Lepisosteus oculatus: one gene and its partner. The protein of the gene in region 1 interacts with the protein of each later gene in a biochemical or structural test. Links are inferred from orthologs where the notes say so. Each region holds a gene or a part of one and is shown in the gene's direction. Other genes may lie near its edges.

What was found.
Region 2: of the proteins of usp33 (region 1) and arrb2a, one has a biochemical effect on the other in vitro, tested with the Homo sapiens proteins (2 studies listed by BioGRID, with this or other methods). The link is inferred for Lepisosteus oculatus from reciprocal best matches to the Homo sapiens genes USP33 and ARRB2.

Annotation. Positions count from the first base shown.
Region 1 is NC_090704.1:3,776,561-3,784,288, forward strand, and holds the start of usp33 (ubiquitin carboxyl-terminal hydrolase 33), read left to right. Parts: upstream 1-4,702; 5' UTR 4,703-4,906; intron 4,907-7,728. Other genes in the region: miga1 (mitoguardin 1), read right to left, coding at 801-905. UniProt on the Homo sapiens protein: Deubiquitinating enzyme involved in various processes such as centrosome duplication, cellular migration and beta-2 adrenergic receptor/ADRB2 recycling.
Region 2 is NC_090698.1:12,348,684-12,356,573, reverse strand, and holds the start of arrb2a (arrestin, beta 2a), read left to right. Parts: upstream 1-4,867; 5' UTR 4,868-5,066; coding exon 5,067-5,089; intron 5,090-5,109; exon of another isoform or gene 5,110-5,768; intron 5,769-7,890. UniProt on the Homo sapiens protein: Functions in regulating agonist-mediated G-protein coupled receptor (GPCR) signaling by mediating both receptor desensitization and resensitization processes.

The DNA of each region.
Region 1 (7,728 bases):
TCCGTCTTTTCTAATCTTCGCCTCGCACTGACGGAGATCGAACACTTACAGCTCTCCATTCAAACACTCATTCCTCAAGCGATGCTTCTATACCAACAGGCACGTTGGCGACACTGGGGCCTCTGAACGCAACCTTACTCGTCTCCCATTCCCACAGAAAACGTTTTCGGTCTGAACACAACAGTCTCTGTAGCCAACACAAAAGCACCATAGCACAGCCTAGTTTCGAGAACACAACCTACATCAATATGAAGCCCCGTATTAAGGATCAAACCTGATACAGAGTCAGGATTGTTATTCTCAGTTTTGGATACACGTCATCAATTAAGAAAACTAATTCACAAGATAATCATATTATTCCTTATGGATATCAGTTCTCCTGATAAACTGCATTATTTAGGAACAAAACCAGGACTGAGAACGTGGATTCTGTGAGTTTCGTGTGTGGCAGGAATGCTTATCAGAGCCACTAAGTGTTATCGCTTCAATCAATGGAGCAGCTCAGCTGTAAAGGCACCGCGCAGTAAGACAACAGGGTGGGACACAGATGTGTCTGTGTGTGCGCAGAGCAGGGCTGGGCGCGGAATCAGGATGCAGAGCATGAAGGAGGCATGCAACAGTGATGAGAGAGCAGCCGCAGTGTGAAACCGAGCCCCGAAACACCAGGGTCGTGATCTTATCTGCGGCTGTACAAAGCCCAGTGGCTCCCTGTTGCATGAAGGGTCTCTCCTGGCCTTCCCCCCCGCCCGCCGCAAAACAGTCCCCAGGACGAAGCGCCAGCCCAGCGCCGGACCCCTTACCTGTGGGAGGGAGCTGTAGAGCGAAAGAGGGAGCTCCCCGACCCGCAGCGCCACGGTCTTCAGGGACGACTGGGAGTTGACGTTACTAAGCGCGTCTTCAGTCATGCTCCCCGTCTCCCATAATCCCCCCCGAGCAGCCGTTTACCCCATGCCCATCGCGGCCTCCGCTGCTGCTTAAAGGACAGCTCCTGGACGAGGGGAAACAGCCCGAAGACAGATATCTGAGCGCCGACTGCTCATCATCCGGCACCAGGCGCGCTACTGTCTGACCTCCAGCTGTAGCACATAACAGTGCCAACCGCAGTACCGAAACCGCCTCAGCAGAGAGACCGGCGCACTACCACTACTATATCACTATCATCACTACCTGCCAAAACAGGCTAGAAGAGCCAAACAGGTCTCCTCTCGTTTGTCAGGATTCTTCGGTTCTTATTCGAAGCCCATTTTGACCTGAGACCATTTTCGCTTTTCAAAAAACGATATTTTATCTTGTTTCCTCCCTCCTCCCTCCCCCCTTTGCTAGAACAAAGACCGATCTGCATACATATAAACGCACGATCAGCCCCTCGTGTCCCTCAACTGTCCCTCCCCAGCCCAGAGCAGGTGCTGACGGGACAGCGATCTCGCAGGCTGCGTTCGGCAGACTGCTCGCAAACATACCTGACCTGATTCATAGGCCCTACTTTTGAGCAGGTTTCCCTTCCCAAATGTGCCTGTGCACCAACAGGCCTCTCCCCCTCCTCGGGATAGGGACACTCCACCGCCCTCGTGCGCAGCGAGGCGAAGCAACGCCGCCCGGATTCAGCTCGCTAACTAACTGACTGACTAAGGGCTGTGCCACTCGGGAGAGCCCATCGGGAGGGCGGAGCGTTGGTTCTGTGGCTGGGAGGTTGCCAGTTCGTATCCCGCGGCCGGCAGAGGAATCCTACTCCATTGGGCCCCTGATCAAGGCCCTTCACCCCAGCTGCTCCAGGGGCGCCGTATAAATGGCCGACCCTGCGCTCTGACCCCCTGCTTCTCTCCCCGTCTATCTGATCTCCGTGCTCAAGGGCTGCCCTCCAGCAGGATTCACACACCTCTTTAAACCCCCATCTTCTCGGGACAAGGAGGGGCTTCAGCTTTGGCCCATTAAGCAAATAACGAGCTCAAATAACGTGTAAGGAACCCCAGGAACATTGTGGGCCCCCCAGGACTGGAGCTGTACCCCCCTGAGCACAACTGCCAACCGTTCAGCTCCGTATGCGTCTGCGATGCAAAAGGACCTCATGGCTGATCACAGCACCAGACTGGGGCTAGAAAGCTTATCAACAAGACGATTAGGTAGGCGCTGGTCTTTAAGGCTCATTAGTCCCCCCCGCTGAAAAACCTGTGAGGTGAACGAGAGCACGTGGCACAAGGGGGAGACCTGGAGCTCCTACCTGCACAGAGAACCTGCCCTTTCGACATTTACTGCTCACCTGTGGGTCTGTTATTCACACATTCCCTGGAAGAAAAATTCGAAACGCTTGTTCGTTGACCTAGTTAACTCTCCTTTGGACGGAAGATTTCGAATGAAAGATTTCAAACAATACAGCTTAAGTCTATAACATATAGATATATAAGCGTTAATTCTCAAACTAAATTTCAAGTGGCAGAATGTCAAACGAAAAATCATAAAACGAACTAGGACTGTTAGGGGCTATAATTACTGTAGCTCCGTGCGGCTTTTACCAGCAAAATGGGCTTAACAAAATTGCAATAACCCTGCGCTGTGCAATCAACAAAAACGATATCAACTACCATATCTGCAGACGGCAGCATGCACTTACGCAAATTCAACACAAAGAAATAAACCATTGTGTACTACTGCCAATGTCGGTTCGGGTTTCATAATAAACAACGGTTAACAAAACTGATGATACATTTAAATCGCTTGCCGGCACCAGCGATAAACCTAATTCCAGTAATAGCCGAACCCTAAAACGTGTGAAATCTGTGCGTTTGATTCGTTTACAAGTCAAAGGAAGGCAGGTGCACAATAGGAGTAGTTCAGGCAGCTCGCTTTCAAAGCAGTAGCTACTGGGGGGATACATTTGACAATCAGGGCGCTGGGGAGCCCCCCCAAAAAAAAACATTTTGCAATTGCAACATGCAGTTTTGCCTGTACTGTTACTGTCAGGAAGAAAAACGACACCCCCCGCCACCACCACACGCATACACACCGCCCCGGTCCCTATACCAGAGACTAGCAGTCGCCAGTACACCTTACTGATGAGACCAGAGCCTTACCGTCAGTTTAATAGCGCGGTCTTCACGGCAGCAGCCAAATGCCGGAGTTTCAAGACGAGGAAACCTACCTACCTACCCACCCTCCCGAGCTGCTACCAGAAATCGCTAATTAAGCCTCACGGTTCAATTGCAACAGCGAGTGAATGAGTGCCGCCTGCAGCCTGACGGAGCAACTTGTCGGCGCTGGGAACTGCTTCCTGGGTCAGAGAACAGCCTTGCAGCAGCCTCAGGGCTGTGCTGAGATTGCATCTGTGTGGGCGACACCCTTGTGCGCCCACCAGCCTCGCATCTATTGTTGCAATCGCCTTCATACTCATTTGAAATGTCCAGAAATTCCTCCCCCCTTCTCCTTTTCCGAAGTATGAGCCGATGCGCGATGGAATTGGCAAATTCTCAGACTCGCCTCACAAAACACCAGCCCAAAGAGGAAATTCAGTAAGACTATGACAGAGAGACACGCTGTCTGATGGTAGTCATTTTCATTACCAGTAGACGTTAATTTCTTGAGCATCTTAAACCAATAAATAGCAGTTCAGACCATGAGAAACCCTTTGCTAATTTCTACTGGAACCCAATGGAAATTGCACCAGGAATCTTCTAGTGGGGATCCTGTCAAATGTAACTGCTGCTTAAACTTTAAATTGGGGGTTAGCTCATTCTACCTGATTTCTGTGTTTAAAAATGTAAAAACTGAAACTCTGTTACAGGGGAGGAACAATCAATTATTATCAGCATTGCCATTACTGCTAGAATATAAAGTAATTTGTTTTCCACCAATCTATAAATCTGTTAATCATAATAATTCATTTATAATATTAAGAATTGATTTCTGCAACATGCTAGACTGCAGAAAATTTCTGAATCCATTTTTATATCAGTTCTGAAGGGTCCCACAAATTATTTTTCCAGAAAATATTCACTTATTTGTAGCATTATTTAATAAATACATATTTAATTGTTTTTGTATGATAGTCCATATCCTACAAATACATACGGCGCAAGCTTTTGTAAAATAGATGTTCAGGACAAATTCAAACTTTCAGGCATGCTGAAACCATTGTGGACAAATTTCTTAACAATCAGGGATAAAAAAGATATCAGAGGGAAGTATTTGGCAACAAATTAAAAAAGCCACAAAATATATAATTTTAAGAAGAGGAAAAGCATTCAAAAATTAAATAAAAACATAATAATTAAATAGAGAGATCAAAGTACAGTTAAGAGTCTTCATTAAAAATATTTCATTATACCTTTCTGGTGTTTTTGTTTTAAATATGGTACAATTTAATTGAGCAGGAAGTCCTAGCAGAACTAGAAAATGGAGCAGCTACAGACACTAAAATTAAGTTAAATTATATGATGTTTGATTTCACTATTTATGGGGTTTAGTTGTTTTTATTAGCATTCAATACCCCTCAAGGAGACTAGAGTGGTTGTTTGTTTCCAGAGGGTGTAGTTCACCGCTCTGCCACCGGGGGGCACTGGGGCTGTGGGTGCGCCACCGTTCGCTCCCGCCGGCCTGTGTCATTGCTTGCCCAGTGCGCCGCCCTTCCCGGGCAGGAAAAGCCGTGCGGCCAGGGCCCGCTAGGCGGCGCTGCGGCGATCGTGCGAGCCTACTTTCCACGGTGCAGAACCGGAAGGAGCTGCCCCGCGGGCATCGGCCGCCGAAGTAGTGGAGCAGGAGGAGCAGGAGCAGCAGCGACCTGGGAGCTGAGCGCTGGTCGAGTACGAGGCACATTTCTCCGAAAATGTAAAGGATATACAGTAACGCCGCTGCCTTTCTGACGGGAGTAACTACACCCCGCCTCCCCCCGACCCTCAACGTTTCCTTTGAGAAGGTAGGCTGGAAACGGTGTTTGCAGTCGGTTGCGTTGGCCAGGCATTTTCTAGAATGTCACTGTTTCGGGGGGATATTTAATTTCATCATGGCTGGGTGAAGAAACATACATTTCTGCCGGGGGGGGGTGGGGGTGCGGCTCTTCTGGAGCCAAATTGTTCGCAGGAGCGCGGAGGCGACCGGTGCTTGGCTGGAACTTGCTCATTTATTCTCGGCTGCGAGTAGCTGTCACTCCAGCCCCCCCGGATATCGGAGAAGTGACTTTTGTCTAGGTTGTCTGGGTCGTTTCCATCGAAAACCAGAGCAAAAGCAACAACCACCCAACCAACCGCGCAAAAAAGCAGCTTTATCTACCGATATCGTTTGCACCTCGGTTTACATTGTGCAGCTCTCGTTACGCAGTTACTCAGCCGCACCTCATGAGGGTTTGTGGATGTTTTTTTTTTTGTAGCGAATTAAGGCCAGCCCTCCGCCGAAATGGCCAGATGTCAGGCGGTGAGACAAGCCAAGCCTCCCCGTTATTGTGCAGGGTTTTTCGTGTGCCCTGGTCTTGTTCAGCCCGGTGTTTTGAAGGAGCTGGTAGTGATGGTTAACTGAAGGGGTGTGCGCACCTGTTAGGAGACGCATCGTGCAGTTCGCGTCACTGCGTTTCCTGAGCATGAGCGGCCCTGCAACGCAACGCATTCACATTTCACTAGGAATCCCGTCATTCCGGGACCTTCATTTTTTTTTTTAATTGCAATATTATTGCAGCAGTGTCGCTGCGGGAACGCGTGGTTCTTGGGTTTAAAGGTGGGCACGTCACGTTGGGGTCAGGTTTACAATGCTTACAAATGCCGGCGCTCTGGAGCGCCCTCATGCCAGGGGGGTTTCGTCTGAATCTGTTTAAAAAAAAAACCCACCTGCGTGTCTGAAAGTGAAATATCATGAGCAGTCTTATCAGTTGAATGTGCCTTATCTAGATAAAGCTTGGTCTCATTCATAAAAATAATTATTCTTCTTTCAATAATAATAATAATAATAACAACCATCTTATTGATGATATTTCTTAATAATCCATCATAAATGCGTGCTGGTTGAGTATTCTGTGTGTTACTGTTGCAGTATGTGCATCCTTGTCTTTCTGAAAACGGTAATAAAACCAGCACTATAACTCACAAATGTGTTCGCTGCTGGCAGGAAGTTTAGAAAGTAAAATCGTTATGTTTAAGTATCACATTGAAAGTCTATAAGATGTTGGCACTCTGTCAGCTGTGTTACCATCGGTATGCAAGCCAGAAGTGCCTTGAGAAAACTGTTTCTTGCCACTCTGCTCAGAGGATAAATTCGCAGTTCAAGAAAATGTTATATAATCTGAAAGTGCAACGTGTTTAATATTTTAACAGTAGGGAATCACTCAGGTTTCAGAAAGTTCCTTAGCATTAAAAGAAAACTGACTTCAGTACTTTAGTGCAGGGGCTTGTGGTTCTGGGGATCGCACTGGCGTTCGTTTCCATTCCAGCTGAGCTCGTTACGTAATTGAATCCTTTAATTGACCCAGCACATTGCTCGATTGGAACCTTTTTGACTCTGTGCAAGTTGGAGATCCTCTGTGTGACCCATGAATCACAAGAGTTAAAAGGGAGCTTCCAATACGTCTGGGGACTGAGAGCATTTAAAGAGGGGAAAGTGTACCTCTTACTAGGTCAATTAAGGGTTCATGCAACTGAGAGCTCAGTCAGCAGGTGCATAGGTCCCCAGGATTAGCGTGGGAACCCCTGTATTGGTGTCATGTTTGTGTTTGGACGTGCATCTCTCTCCCATGAGGCAGCCACTTATTTTTTAACCAAGTCTTGCAGCCGCAGGCTTTTAAAAGCACCCGAGCGCTGACAAGGTATGAAGTACGGTATCAGTATGCTTTAAAGGTCATGATTTTGCACTGAAACGGCAGCCGATAAAACATTAGGAAAACAGCCACGCGCTGCTTAGATCGTTGAACAGCCCATACTAAGGTGTTCTAGGAAATACTATTAAACTATTACTCATCATCAATGTGTGAAAAATGAAAGATGTTACTGTCAGTGCATTTGAAAGTGTATTTGGAGGCTTAAGTTTGTATTAAACGGGCAAGTGTAGAGAGTTGAGTAGTACAGAAGAAGAGGGAAGAGTTATCAATGAAAGAAGCAGAATCGTGCTTCTGGAGAACACTTGCCCCTGTTGGATTGTTTTGTGGGTTCCCTGTGTGGTTCCGTGTTTACCCTGAAGTCATCGGATCAGAGGGCTGTGGATGCTGATTTGCTGAGCCATCCGTTGTGTTAAATTGCCATAATTGGGATTGCTTTTGAACAGCAGCAGCACTGGAGTGCCGGGGTACTCAAGGACAGTCTTACAGCCTTTAATTGAAATTTTGTGTTTTTCCTCTTGTGGCTTTATTTTGAATTGATTGCATTAACAAGCAATTCAACTGTTAGATACTCTAATTATATTGGAATAAAAAAAAACTGCTTTAGCTGATTTGGTCATATAAGGTATGAAATGTTCTTTTTTTGGCTACAGAAAACCCTCCATGTGAGTGAGGCTGGGTGTCTGTTCATTTCATGCCTCTTCTAAAGTGGCAGAGGGTCATTATGATTCATTCCAACAATTAATTCAGGTGTGCCCTTGTCAGTTAGGTGACACTGTGCACTACTTATGTAAATTAGCTCTGTTCTCCTAAATTGTGCATTTTTTTTTTATTCATGCACTACAGTGGTGATTTCAGGGCTCAAGTGTCACCCACTGTGAAGGTCAAGTGAGCATCCTCTGATTGTGCTGCTTTAAAGTAGAGGGCAGTGTTCTCAGACG
Region 2 (7,890 bases), on another chromosome or scaffold:
CAGCTAGCGGCGACCTGGGAAGCCCTCTTACTTGACGTGTGAGAGTTGTCTGCTGTCTCTGCCACACGGTGCAGTTACCTCCTTAACAGCAGCAGTTCCCTGCCTCCGGCCCTGAAGGAGCACCGCCTGCTGGTCTTCACTCCAGCTGAGCTCTGCTCCTCCAGCACTGCTGCCTTCACTCATCTGCTTGAGCCTCTAGACTTTTCTTTTACGTGTTCCTTCAGTTTGTTCACAGGTGTCTGATTTACTGTGAGCATATCAGACACACCCACAGTGGGTGTGCGTATATCAGAAACAACCACAGTGGGAGTTGTTCTTTATCAGACATACCCACAATGAGCCTTTCTTCTGCAGCTCAAATCATATACATGTTCAGCAAACACAGCTCAATGAGGGCAGTTCTGAAAACAGTGCAGAATACAGATTTCAAATCCTATCTGGCCTCGTAAGAGCTAAGAGCAAATCTACAATCCTACCCCAGTCAGAGCCAGTGATGAAGATCTCGAATGGAGAGCAGACCAGAAGATTTGGGGTTCCTACAGGACCGGGGCAGCGAACCGTGACCGTGTGTGCGGAGGTGCAGGCTCTTCCTGTGCTGCACTGCGGGGCTCAGAGACTCGAGCTTACACAGCTTCCTTCTACCTCGGCACAGGATCTCCTCTTATCGATTGCTTTTCCTGTGTGGTTCAGACGGGGCACAGACAGGGAGAGGGGACCTGGGTGCATGTTACTGTGAAGGAGCCTCAGCGGACAGGAGTTTGCAAAGACTCTGCCCTTTTCGGGCCCAGCCGTTGGCCCGTTTGCACTGGTGTGCGAGTCAGTCTTTGAGCCCCGCGTGTGAGGAGGGTACCCTCTGATTGGACCTCGCAGTGGTCGACCCCCCCCCCCCAAAAAAAATAAAAAAACACTACACAGCAGCTGTATTCCAGTATTGTAACAAGCAGCACAATTTTGTAACACGTTGTTTTATAGAATTTTTGTAAGAACAAAATGCTTTTTTTTCAGAAGCCTTGTTGATGTGAAGCCAATGATTAAAACCTGTTTTTCTTCTTACCCTGCTGAGTTGTTTGGCTTGTTCTGTAGCAGTTCGCTCACCAAGGCAGACGTCCTCAGAAAAGGCTGGTAGGAAGAAGAAATTTGGGAAAAGAAATGCAAATCTGATCCTCCTTCCTTCCCAGTGACCCCATTCCCAGCAGGTAACACTGTGATCCGTGACTTCGATCTTGTCCACTGTCTGTCCGGGGGGTGAGGAAGAGGAACAGACTCCCAGCCACTTCTCCTTGACTCCAGAGGACATACGACAGACCAGACCTTCAGAGGTCATATGAACCCCATCACTTTGCTAAAGGAGCAGTTAACTATAAAACAGCTCGCAGTCAAGTTGGAACTCTTTTATTTCAACACTTAATTAAATAATTAGGACAAATTTAGATAGAACTAGATCCTCCAGGAACTGGGTTTAAGACCCCAGTAAATCTCAGAAGACATTACAGTCTCCAACACTGACTACAGTCTTCATCAATGTCACAGTGGGATAGGAAAGCGACCTGATTCTAGCAGCTGTGGGAATTCTGGGATTATATTTATTTAAGGGAAGAATGTCTAATTCTTGAGTGTTACTCATAGTGCAGTAGAAAGTGTATCTCCCTGCTGGCAGTAGGAGCACAGCCTGTCCTCACATTGTGTCCAGTTTCTGTCCCATCTGTGATCATTGAGCTTTCCTTTCTGGACAGCCCAGTTTGCCTGTGTCCAGTTTCTCTGTCCAGTCTGTGGTCCCTGAGCCTGTCCTCTCTGGACAGCGATGTCTGTCTGTGTCCAGTTTCGCTGTCCAGGAATCAGTGCAGTGCAATTGTAATACAATGAGCAATGTATCACCGAGTCGGTGGGACAGCTTTCTGTCAGCCCAGTCCTCTATATCTCCTTCAGGCTTCTCTTCACTTCTCTTCATCATTAAAAAAGGTCAGTAGCTAATTAGGTAATTAACGAACGCATGTTGTCTTTTTGTTTGCTAATATGCTCTCCAGTGTGCATTCCTAGACAGACTGCTAGCAAAGTATAACGCTGGACACTCGTCTTATTTTGTGTGTGTGAGCCTGTTGCAAACCTGGCCAAGGCCACCCTGGGCCAGAGCGCTGAGGAGTGTGATGACAGTGACAGTGTAGCCACTAGGGGTCGCTACAAGCACCTTTCATCCAGATCATCAGCCAATAGATAGCGGCACAGTGGCTCAGTTGTGAGTAGTGCTCCCTTGCAATGCTGGGGCCCTGCCTTCATTTCCTAGGGTGCTGTCTGCGTGGAGTTTGTATGTTCTCCTCGTGTTCGCATGGGTTTCCTCCAGGTGCTCCGGAGGTTTTTATCAAAATAACCTTTCACAAACACATCTCACAGTAGTAAACTTTCTAACAGATAATCAGACTCACATGACATAAAAACTTCCTCACTCAGGTGATTGTCTGTTATCAATCAGGGCAAGTGGATGGATTTACACAATGAAAGAGTCCCTCCAAGCCCTACCACTTGCTTTTGGCCATGCCATTTCCCTGTCCCGGCTCTGAAACTGCGGAGCAGGAGCTCAAGGAACAGGGATTTCCCAAAGTCCCTTCCAGCGCTCCGGAGGATTTGCTGGTAGATTAAGTGGCATATGGGAAAAATGCCCCTGGTGGGAATGTGTGTGTCCTGTGGTGGACTGGCGTCCCATCCAGGGTGTACCCTGCCTTGTACCCATTGCTTACTGTGTTAAGCTTCAGCTTCCCCGTGACCCTAGACTGGATAAGGCAGATTCAAAAATGGATGGATCTGTCAGGAGAATGTGGGAACTGTACATGGAGTTTGTTACAGGGCAGAGTCACCAGCTGTGATATTAGGCTGCACTGAAGAGAAGTGATAAGCTGGATGTGTGGGAGTTTAAGTGAGCTGGAAGGAGGCCAGAAACGTTCCTGGAATTTCACTGCACAGCACAGCATTGAGCACAGAAGTCCTCAGCAGCCATCTGTCCCATGGGGAGGCTGTATACGCACTGGAGGTGCATTTAAAACTAAGACCAGGAGGCACGTCTGTCCACCAAGGGCGGTGGGAGTGTGGAACAAGCCATATTTTGTAAACGGATACTTTGACTTCCACTCAGAAACGCCAGGATGAGATCCTGGGATCAATCACCAGATAACAAACAAAAGGGCCGGATGGTTGCCTCTCATTTGCCACCCGTCTCATGTTCTTGCACAAGGACACTGGGGAGTTCCTCCAGCAACCTTGTTGTGAAAGGCGCTAGAGAACAATAAATGGAATTGAATTGAGAGTTCGACTGGGGAACTGCCCGTCTCATCTGCTCATTTCAAAGTCCGTACTGCTCATCACCGCTCAAATCCAATGAAAAACAACAAAGCACATTAGAGTGCAGAGAATCACATAAAGAAGAGTGAAAGCACCCATTGCCGCTGAAGCCCTGATGTCTTCTGGGGGCAGCGACACCAGACCCTGTCACCCCCAGAGTGCTGATGAAACACAGGGGAGACACAGTAACCAGAATCAGCTGAGCAGAGGTCCCATGGAGGGGAGCCGACAGACAACACATCGACCGGGGAGACAAGCCACATAGAGCTCTGACCATCCAATCAAATCAAATCAAAGTTTATTTATCAAATGCACAACACTACAGCGTGCAGCAGTAGTTGCTGGCAATGATTTATTTTTTCTGTGAGCTCACAAAAATCACAAAAATGAGGTTATGAAAATAAGGTTACATAATAGATGTAATAGAAATTGAAACTCAATGAGTAGAGCTGCTATGTGTCCATGGTGCATGCAATATACACAAGTAGTGCAGTTATGCTGAATACAGTGAAATCTGTGTTAATGTAGCCATTACAGGTGATTCACATAATCAACTGAAAGCCAGAACAGGAGAGACACAGTAATATTACAACTCACAAAGCGTTGTATTAGTGGGTCCTGCCAGTGGGTTTTATCACAATTATTAAAAACAACGATCCTGTTTTGTTGGAGACAGAGACATGGACAAAGTCTCTATGGGAGCAGGGCTGGATGTGTCTCTGCTGGAGACCCCGTACTGACCGGACCGGGGCTGGAGACTCCTGTACTGACTGGACCGGGTCTCTTCAGTACCTGGGTTGAAGACTCTTATCATAATCTGCACATGTGAGAAATCGTTTCGGGCTGACGGCTGTATCACATCAGTCTTGTGTACTCTGTCCTCCTGTTCATTAGTGCAATGCGTGCGCACTCGCCGCGGTAGCCCTAAATAGAAGTTTCACCTCCGGAAATATCAGAGGAGGCAGAGAACAGTCTAACGTTTAATTAAAAAAATATATATTTACATAAAATTAACGTGTAACAGACTGCGAGCGTGCTACGGAAACCCCTAAATACTGAAGGCTTCATTAACCCCCAGAACCGGGGGAGCATTTTTTATTTAGGCACTGAAAATTCAGCCAACTTTAGGCACCCATCCGTTCGCTCCCTCACGGGTACCTACAGTCACACCAACTCTATCCAACAAACCATTTTCGATGCATTAATTTCTGCACCTCGGGTTAAAAACATCTATCCAAAGACACTAAGATCGTATTCCGAAGTGCGTAAACAAATTCGTGCGCTGTAATTGGGTGCTGCTGCTGTCCATCAAGAGGCAGTACCGCCTCTCTTCCCGAACGGTAAATTTTGACTGGCTGTTGCGAGAAGAGTAAATAATAATACAGTTTTGTAGGGCGATGATGTCACGGGAGTCGAGGCGGGAACCTTTGCTTTCCTTAGGCGAGCGAACAGCTCTCCCACCGGAAGGCTCCGATTGGTCGGCGGCGCTGTCGTTCCAGGCGAGCGGTTGGCTAACGCGGCTGTCCGTCAGTGACGGCGGGCGGGGCCAGGGCGGCTGTCAGGTTGTCGAGCCGTTCTTCCGTCTGCTGGCTGCGGAAACGAGAGAAAGAGAGAGAGAGGGGAGGAGGGGAACAACCCGAGCGAGCGAGTGTGTAAGTCTGCGAGCGACAACGGCAGCGAAGGAGGAGGGCGCATTCTTAAAATAATCAAGAATAAAAATACTCAGCCGGTCGGCGATGGGGGACAAGGCGGGAACCAGGTAAGGGAGACATTTCCTACCCCCGCAGCGCTTCGTGCGCCGAGCCGCCGCCGTGGAGCGGAGCTGGAGGGGAGTTTAAATCGCCAGGGCGGGTGCGACGGTGCGCTTCGCGGTGGTACTGCCGTGGACGTTCAAGCGAAAGAAGGCAACCCCCCCGCGCGCGCACACCCTCGAGAAAGGGAGTGAAAATGAGCCGCTGAGATTCCTGTTCGCTAGCGCGCTGCGGAAGAGACGTGAACACGACACGGTAGCCGTGGGTGGCTGGTGTGGCGCGGAATCCTTAATAATAACATTAATAATGTCGCTGCCCGCCCGTGTCTCCTCTGGACTGTGTCCCTCACAGCGCCTCCGTCCTGCTGCCGTTGGGGTCGTGGCTCTCTAGGTGAGGAGCTGCGTGTTTTTTTTTGTGTGTCACCTGCGTGTCTGTGGCGAGACTGGCTGGCGTGACCTCAAGCAAACGCCTTCGTCCGTGTTCCTCCAGCGCCTGGGAAGATAGAGTATCGGCTACGTGGGGTGGAAATGTGAAAGGTTGGGTTCCCGGTGCTGGTGGCCGCGCTGTGCCCGTCTCCTTGTGATCTCCTTGCGATGTCGTGACGTGGTGTTTGACGTGTAGTTTACATTTCGATACCCACGCACACGGACATGTATGCGGGAGTGTGCGTCTTTATAAACAGGCGCATGCAGCTGCACATCCCTCGGCAAGGGGCGGTTCTGTTTAGGGGTTTTGTTTTCCTCTCTACGACGGAAATCGCTCCGGGTCCGTGTCTCGCAAGAGAGGAACCAACTATAAAAACCCGGCAGCTCCAGCAGTCTGCGCTGCGCCCGGGGCTGCCTGGCGTCCTGACGTGCCGCCCGAGAGAGATGGGGACCGTGTGTATCTGTCTCTCCCCCGCATCCGCAGTATTCACCTCATCAGAGAAAATTGGATTCTCTTCTGCATTTCCCTCTAGTGTTCTTGCGTGTCCGTGACGGGGGTGGAAAGGAGGGTAGAGAGAGGTGGCCTCTTTCTCTCCAGGCGCGTCCGTGAGGGTCTGTGGAAAGGTCTGCTGTTCTTCGGGTTACCAGCGGTCCAGCTGTGAGGACCGCTCAGGAGGACCCGTGAGATAGGGGCACAGTCGGCCCCGGGTGGGGGATGAGATCGCTGGGGTCTCTGCTCTTCCTCGTGCGTGAAGAGGCTGTGGATCCGGTCCGGGAGGTTTGGGCACAGCCTCGGTGCTCCGGGCCGGAGAGCAGGGGATGTTCCTCATCTTTCCCAGGAAGGGCTCGGGGGAGAGGGCCGTGGGTGTGTATATGGGGGGGTGTCTGTGGTTTTCCAGGCCCGGCTCACCTGGCTGCTGATTTGAATTCCAAATCAAGTTTGCGGAGGAGGGAAAGATCCACCTGTGAAGTAGGAGGCAGAGTAGATGCTGGGGGCTGTGATGAGGAAAGTGCTATCAGAGCTTCCCCAGTACTGGTCTGGGGGGGTCAGTGTGTCTGCAGGGTGTCCAGTCCTGGTCCTGGAGGGTCAGTGTGTCTGCAGGGTGTCCAGTCCTGGTCCTGGAGGGTCAGTGTGTCTGCAGGGTGTCCAGTCCTGGTCCTGGAGGGTCAGTGTGTCTGCAGGGTGTCCAGTCCTGGTCTTGGGGGGTCATTGTGTCTGCAGGGTGTCCAGTCCTGGTCCTGGAGGGTCAGTGTGTCTGAAGGTGTCCAGTCCTGGTCCTGGAGGGTCAGTGTGTCTGCAGGGTGTCCAGTCCTGGTCTTGGGGGGTCATTGTGTCTGCAGGGTGTCCAGTCCTGGTCCTGGGAGGTCAGTGTGTCCAGTCCTGGTCTTGGGGGGTCAGTGTGTCTGCAGGGTGTCCAGTCCTGGTCTTGGGGGGTCATTGTGTCTGCAGGTGTCTAGTCCTGGTCCTGAGGGGTCAGTGTGTCCAGTCCTGGTCTTGGGGGGTCAGTGTGTCTGCAGGGTGTCCAGTCCTGGTCCTGGGGGTCAGTGTGTCTGCAGGGTGTCCAGTCCTGGTCCTGGGAGGTCAGTGTGTCCAGTCCTGGTCTTGGGGGGTCAGTGTGTCTGCAGGGTGTCCAGTCCTGGTCTTGGGGGGTCATTGTGTCTGCAGGTGTCTAGTCCTGGTCCTGAGGGGTCAGTGTGTCCAGTCCTGGTCTTGGGGGGTCAGTGTGTCTGCAGGGTGTCCAGTCCTGGTCCTGGGGGTCAGTGTGTCTGCAGGGTGTCCAGTCCTGGTCCTGGGGGTCAGTGTGTCTGCAGGTGTCCAGTCCTGGTCCTGGGTGGTCAGTGTGTCTGCAGGGTGTCCAGTCCTGGTCCTGAGGTTGTCAATTAACTACATTACAAAGGGAGATTGGGCTTTCTCTATCAGAGCCCCTAGAATCTGGAACAGTCTTCCTTTAAAATTAGGACAGCAAATGGGTTTCTAAATGAGATTTAAAAGACTAAAACCAATTTTTATAGGCTTGAGGCAATAGTGTTAAAAATACTGATTTTGATCTTTGTCAGATACACCCATGTTGCCTAGTGCACAGTCTTGTTCAGATTTTGTCCATGTTAAGAGTGGGACTAAAGTACATTATCTTTTGCATTTGTATCATGTGCTGGTTCCTTATCATATTCTGTGCGTGTTGATAATGTTAAGAACTGCAGCAATATGTCCGCTGTGTATGTGCGTTTCCTTGTTTTAATCAGGATTGTTAGTACGTTTCTTAAATTTACCTCCTAACAATGCATTCATTTTATTAGTGTTTTAATGAGAAACACTTTGTGCTGTAGAGCTGGAAATGTTCTGTTTAAGTAAAGTCATAACTGATTATTGTCTAAAATAGACC